Arabidopsis thaliana: one gene and its partner. The protein of the gene in region 2 interacts with the protein of the main gene of each other region in a pairwise test. Each region holds a gene or a part of one and is shown on either strand. Other genes may lie near its edges.

Region 1 (3,668 bases), about 14 Mb from region 2:
TTTGCACCAAAAGTTTCCAAAACCATCATCTTCCACACCTGGAACTAAACAAAAAACTCTTTAAAGCAAAAGATTGAGCTTTAAAAGAGGGGCCAAGCCTGCGGCCTATTAACTGCTTCTACCAATCCTTTTTCTTGGCAAGCAAAAAAAAACTCTCATGACTTTGTGACTTGACATGCTTTCAATAGACCAAAGCAAAACTCTTAGCTTTGCATCCTCTACACTTCTTATACTAAATATCGCCCGGCGACTGTGAAGTAAAACCACCCAACTCATTTCTTAACACCCAAGCTCCCCCTACATTGCATTTGAACCAATTACAAGGTGTTTTTTCCCAAACTTTCCCCGCCATATAAACACTTCTCTGCATCACGTTTTGAATGGAATCAATTAGCACCGGTTCTTCTGCAATTTGTTATGGAGCCATTCTGCTCTATTTTGGTAAAGCTTTATCTGTTTTCAAGTTATGAAGTAATCACAAAATACTGGCCTAGATGATGACTGGTTTTGGTACTTAATAAGAAAGCAGAGACATTCCTAATCAAAGATTGTCAGACAGATGTTTTCTGTTGTAAGACTCAATATTGGTTTTAATATTATTTGTTGGTTAGATTAGAAAACATCCCACAGTTAAACAAGACACAAGTTGATACAAGAAAAAAAGAGTAGTAAGACTCATTGGTTTTAAACTTTTAATATAAGAAGAAAACATCACACATATAAAACAAGACAAGTTGATAGAAAAGACTACAAAACTTAAAAGAAAAAAGGATGGTTTCTTCATTAGTTAAGGCAAACCAAAACTGAACCGGTTTGAGTTAGATCAACATCCCAGAAATCCAATGAAGCATGGAAAATTGATTGAAGTCAAACCGGAACCTTCCTTGAGTAAAGTATCTCTAACGAAAATAAACCGAAGCAATCCTTGAAACATCTGTTATCTTGGAGGGAGTTTCAAATATCAGCAATGTAAGTCACTGAAATAATCAGAAAAGCAGAGATTATCCTCCGGTAAATCTTTTTGAATCATTAATCCTCCATCTTCAACAGCTTCAGGATTTGAGCACAGATTTTGCTTTGTAGTCACCATCGAGGCATAATCCTCCATCTCACAACTCTTCAAAAGGCTTTCATAGTTTGTCTCAAAATCAAGTAGCTGATCAAGATCTAGCTCTTGATCGAATTCATCCAAGTTTTCAGGTAAAACATTGTTCTTGTCAGAAATCATTAGCATCGTATCCTTGTCGTCCATATCAGACACGTGGATATTGTCCTCATCCATATTTTTGTGAACAACCAATTCTCTATCTTCAACAGTTTCAGAAGCAGAGACGGGGTTTTGATTCGTGGTCACCACAGAGACATCGTCCATGTCCAAGTTCATCGATAGAGCTTCAGCTGTTGACACATAATCAAATATTTCATCAAGATCAAATTCTTCAGTGTTCTTGTTAAACCCATCGAAATTCACAGAACATGATTCAGGATTAAAGGTTTGCTTTTGATGAGTTCCGTGTAAAACACCCTTCTTCTTCACGTCCTCCTCACAATCTCGTTGATTCTGCAAATCCTTCAGATCTTTCAACATCTTCGACATCGAGTCCATTGCGTCTCTCAGTTCCTCCAGGTCCTCTGATTTTGAAAGCCTCTCATCTTCCCACCAATAGTCTAACCCTAGACCTTCCCGAGGACGCTGATTCGTGAGGAAAGCGGCTACAACGTTATCAACAGAGGAATGGCCAAAGGTGTAGAAAGAAACGTTTGATTTGGAAGAGACCGGAGTGGCTATGATCGCAATTTGTGCATCGGAGAGAAGACAAAGATCAGAGGCTTTGCTATATAGACCCCTACTGCGTTTTGAGAAAGCAACAGCTCTTGAATCTTTCTTCTCTATCAGCTCTATAGAAATCTTTCTCTTCACGCCCCCCATTCTGTGTTCACGATTTCACAGACAAAGAAAGAGAAGGAGAAAAAGACAGAGAGATTTTTGTGTTAGCCTGTTGCGAAAGAATATGATATGGCTACTCTCTGTTTCTAATCGTGTATATATAGACTCTGTGTTGTTACTCGTTTCTAATCAATCGACTATATTTCCTTTTTCTGACAATTAGCTAATCAGTGATTAAACGAACTAAGTATAATTATTTTCCTTTTTTGAAAGTAATGACTCTTAAACCGCCTGAGACGAACCAAACTAAGTACAATCGATTTCCTTTTTTGAAAACTTAACTCGAAAAGCACCTGAAACTAACCATGGCTGGTTCAGTTAAACCATCGATTCTATTTCCTTTTCGTGATAATCTACTAATCACTAATTAATCCAATAAGTATATGTTTCCTTTTCCTTTGTCAAAGAAATTTCCTTTTCTGAAAGAGTGATTTAATCGAAAATTTGGTTCAGTAATAAACAGTTATTTGGTTTAGTCAAACCATCTAAATTATTAGTTTATACTAGCTTAATTTGAAGACATGCAATAATGCAAACCAACTAAAACAAACGTAAATCGAATATGCATGGCTCTATTTAGTAATTGAAGAGTAGGAAAACATTTAATTAAACCAAAGCAAATTAGACAAAATGCGAATTTTCTCTCTTGAACCGGGTTTGGTCAAGTTAAAAGAATCAAAGACGTGGAATCAACGAAACTTAAACCCTAGCTTTAACCCTCGCTCTCAACGGATTCTTCATCACCACCGCGAACACCAATTTGCCGGTGAAATCCACTTGGCTCTCCGGCGGGTACGAGCTCCACTCAAACTCTTGAACCATCCTCGACAGCATTAGCTCCACGTGTACGACCGCCATTCCAAGCCCCGGACAAATCCGACGGCCAATTCCGAACGGCATCATTTTAACTCCGGCGACTCCGGTTAAATCGGCGTCTTCTCCACCTGTTATAAACCGGTCCGGATCAAATTTCTCCGGTTTAGACCATATCTTCGGGTCTTCACTTATACCGGGAAGATAAAACTCAACATTAGCCCCGACGGGAATATCGTAACCCGCGAGATTAGTCGGCTCCGTAACGCCGTGAGTTAACGTGAAATACGTCGGTGGATGTCTCCGGAGAAGCTCCTTAACAAAAGCTTGTAAAAAGACCATTTTATTCAAATCTTTCTCCTCAACCGTTCGATCATCTCCCACCGTTGATTTAATCTCATCGTACAGCCGAGATTGAATCTTCGGATTCGATATCAGCTCCGCGATTCCCCACTCTATCGCCGTCCCCGTCGTATCCGTACCGGCGTTGAGAAACTCTGAACACAGCGTCACGAGATCTTCATCTGACGGTGACGTTTCACGACCATCAACTCTGAGATCGAATAAAGTATCAAGATACGCGAAAGACGACGCCGTTTTATCGGAGCCGAGATTTCGAATCGCTAATCGTCGTTTCTCGATGAATCCAACGACGAATTGGACAAGTTTCCGGCGAAGTTCCAGAGAATTTTTCCTCTCCTTGAAGTAAAACGGAGTTAGAATCGGAAGATAGTCGTGAATTCGTGGATCAACGGCGGTTAAAATCTCCGTCATCATCTGATCCATCTTCTCAATCGATTCTTCTTCCATTTTAACTCCGAAACACATATCTAACAAGATACAAAAAGCAGCGAATCTAGCGTTTCTTAGAACCCAGACGAGCCCGTCGTTTTCCTTAGCTTCAGAT
Region 2 (3,712 bases):
TTCTTCAATTGATTTGCGAATCCAGAATTCTCTGTTTTCTGAGTTCTAAGAAACGCCACATTCTAGGCTCTGGACTTTGCACCTGAAGAAGAAACGTGACTTAACATCATATTCAAAGACCAATATCAAAAGATCAAGGAGGAGAAAAAGATTGAATAGATCAAATATTTGAACAAAACCAAAGGCACTTTGTGTTTGTTAACATAACTAAGATTAGAGCCGCTTCCTTGGTTAACTATGATGAACCATCATCTTCTTCTTGTTCTCAGGCAAAACGATCTGTAAAAAATAGAAAAGTAAACCAAAAGAATCAGACCAAGAACCAAACCGGAAACACAGTGATGCAGAACAAAATCTATACCAGATACAGAGCATCACAACACCACTTGATCTTTGATTCCCATTCACAAAATCTAAACCTAATACAGATATCCCAATCTCGCGATCGTTTACAAAACCAAATCAAACGAATCACAAAACTATCGTAGATGGTATTGAGGAGGAAATAACAAAATTGATCGAGACAAATCAAACCCCAAAAGATTAACACACCGATGGAACAAATTAAGTAACATAAACAAAGAACGAGAGGTGTTGTAACAGTAATCGAATCAACTAATCAAGTAACAGAGAAACACAATTCATAAACAGATCATCGGAATTGAGAATTCATAATCATCGGAATTGCCTCAAAGAAACCCTAAATTCGAGAGTTTGATAACTAACCAGATAATCGATATACCTAGACGAAGTGAGAGATCGTCATTTCTGGATCATGATCGTCGCCGACAATTCGTCGGTGAACCAAGCAAGATCGCCGGAGAAAAAAAAACTTCTCCAGACATTTTGCAAAAAAAATTAAAATTTAGGGATTTCTAAAAAGTGAGAGATATCATAGAGAGATTTGTAGAGGTTTTTCTTCTTCTTCAAACGGTCTAACTCCAATTTTTTCCGCTATATAGAAAAATTCAAAATTTGAAAAATCAAGATTCCAAGACTAAGACATGTTTCGAAAAAAAGAAATTGAAATTCCAGCTGTGACACGTCATGATTATCATGTGCAACAAGTTTGAGCTTAACCGGGATTTTAACATTTTGGTTTAGTGTGAAGGCCTGAATGTTTTTGGTTAAAGCCTAACCACTGTGATCTCATGAACATATTTAGATTCGTTTGGTTTTGGTTTTAAAATGTGACATTAATTCTAAGTCCAACCCAATTAGATCGAAGCAATTATATGTTATCTTCCCAACCCAAACTACGTATTTTCAACTATACAATGAAAATTAAAAGTGACCAAATTAGGCGACACAGAAACGAACAGGTCCAATATATAATAGTTTGGGCCGCTGTAAAAATATACACGTTTGGGCCAAGCCTAGTAAAAAAAAACAAAAATTTGGCCTCTTAACTACCGATTCCAAAATTGAAATGTAGCGTTTTGATTATTCTTCTTTAAATTGTCAGGTTCTACGAAAACCCTAACCAGAGAAGCTTGCCAGCGGCTGAAGAGTTCCGACGAAAGCAGAGGAAGAAAAATATATCGGTTAACCGACCGAACCGAAACACTGGGTAACCAAACATAATTTACAAACCTTCCGATCGGTTTTCCTTTCCTAACCGAAGCAAAGCCCGGAACCAAAAATTTCGGTTCGGAGCGGTTCGGAATTATCGGTTCGAGTTTGTCTCGCAGGCCTACAAAAAAAACTCTATAAATATATGACATATCTAAGGGTTTCCTTAACCTAATTCATTAGCTTTTTCTCTTCACTCTGAACGTGAAAACAAACACAGAGAGTTTGTCTTCAAAATCAACAAGAAGATGACGACCATTCGATCTTCACCTTCTTCCTCTCGTTGTTCCAATTCGTCTTCCTCTTCTTCTTATTCACTCGCTTCCACAAGTTTGTCTAACAGACTTGAGACTATATTCAAGAAAGCTTCAGAGCTTTGCACTCTCTGTGATATCGAAGCCTGCGTCATCTATTACGGACCAGACGGAGAACTTAAAACATGGCCTAAGGAGCGAGAGAAAGTGCGAGACATTGCTCTGAGGTTTAATCAATTAAACGAAGCCTTGAGACACAAGAAAAGCGTTAATCTTCATGGGTTCCTGAACAAGAAGAAGAAGAACAAGGGTTTGAAGAATCCGAACAAGAAGAAGAAGACGAGTCTTAAGAACGTGAATGTTTTAAAGTATCCACTCGCTGATCATTACTCTCCCGACCAAGTTTCTCAATTGACTCAGTCCTTAGAACTCAATGTCTCTAAATTCCAAGAAAGGCTTCGATTTCTTGAGTCGCAGAAACAGAATGAGACAAAACCGGATCATCAGAGTTTAACATCAATATCTTCTCTGAACCAATCTTTGAACCCTAGCCAGTTCTCGCTGTTTATGTATAACCATGGATATAATACTCTGTCTCAGATCCCAGTCTCTGCATCAAATTTCAATCAGGATTATATCTCAGCGTTACTTGAACAATCTGAGTTGAAGAGTCAGATAATGAAGCAGGAGGTTTGTGGTTATGAGCAGAACATGTGCATGAGTAACCATGGAGATGCTACGCTCTCTCAAATCCCATTCTCTGCATCAAATTTCAATCAAGATTTTTCAGCCAACAACAACTTCCAACATTCTTTTGTCTCAAACACACAAGATTACTACTCTGTTCAAAAATCTGTGAATAACAACTATGGGTTGAAGAATCAGTTAATGAAGCACGATCTTTGTGGTTATGAGCACAACATGTGCATGAGTAACCATGGAGATGCTACCTTCTCTCAAATCCCACTCTCTGCATCAAATTTCAATCAAGATTTTTCAGTCTCAATACAAGAAGAATCTGGCTTGATGCAGCAGGAGCTTTGTGGTTATGATCAGAATCAGAACATGAGCATGGGTGACATCACAAACAACAATTTTCAAGTTACTTGCGCCTCAGTACTAGAATCTGTGAACAACTTTGGGTTGAATCAGTTGATGCACAAGGAGTTTTATGGTTGTCATCAAAACATGTCTATGGGTAACATCAATAACAACAGCTTTCAACATCCTTGGGTCTCAAACGCAGACCATACTCGGCGGTACAAGAATCTGTGAACAACTTTGGGTTGAATCAGTTAATGCATGCAGCATGAACTTTACGGTTACGGTTATGCAGACTTTTGTTAATTTCTTATGATTAATTTGATGTGTTGTTGTTGTTGTTGAAATGTATTCAGATCTACAGCTTGTTTACGGTTATTAGTTGGATAGTATTTAGCAGTACATGCACTTTCACTTTCCATAAAGGTCATTATTGTATCATGATTGATGCAGAGGATATCTACACCAGTATTCTTTCACTCTATAGTAGCTAGAAACAACAAGTACTACGTAGCTTATTAGTGTCTTTTAAAGTACATATATATAAATGTGATATGTTGGCTCACTTCACAATACCTCGCTTCTGTTCATTTCCCGTAAAATACTCTTCGATATAAGACATCTATCACCTACATGACTCCAAAAGAATCTCAAAACATCGTTATCACCAGCGTAAGAGGCACTGATAGATTTATAAAGTTTCAAGTTTACCATTAACCGTCGATTATACATTACATCGAACAAAGCAGAAGCTTCAGTGACCTTCCCTGTTCGCCAATATGCATACGCCATGGTCGTGAATATAACACTATCTCCCACTAAACCCTTCTTTTCCATTGATTCAA

What was found.
Region 1: the proteins of AGL77 (region 2) and AGL99 interact in a two-hybrid assay, tested with the Arabidopsis thaliana proteins (one large-scale study listed by BioGRID).

Annotation. Positions count from the first base shown.
Region 1 is NC_003076.8:1,331,087-1,334,754, reverse strand, and holds AGL99 (AGAMOUS-like 99), read right to left. Parts: upstream 1,997-3,668; 5' UTR 1,931-1,996; coding exon 962-1,930; 3' UTR 833-961; downstream 1-832. Other genes in the region: CYP77A9 (cytochrome P450, family 77, subfamily A, polypeptide 9), read right to left, coding at 2,648-3,668.
Region 2 is NC_003076.8:15,512,414-15,516,125, reverse strand, and holds AGL77 (AGAMOUS-like 77), read left to right. Parts: upstream 1-1,820; coding exon 1,821-3,101; 3' UTR 3,102-3,183; downstream 3,184-3,712. Other genes in the region: AT5G38730 (Tetratricopeptide repeat (TPR)-like superfamily protein), read right to left, coding at 3,435-3,712.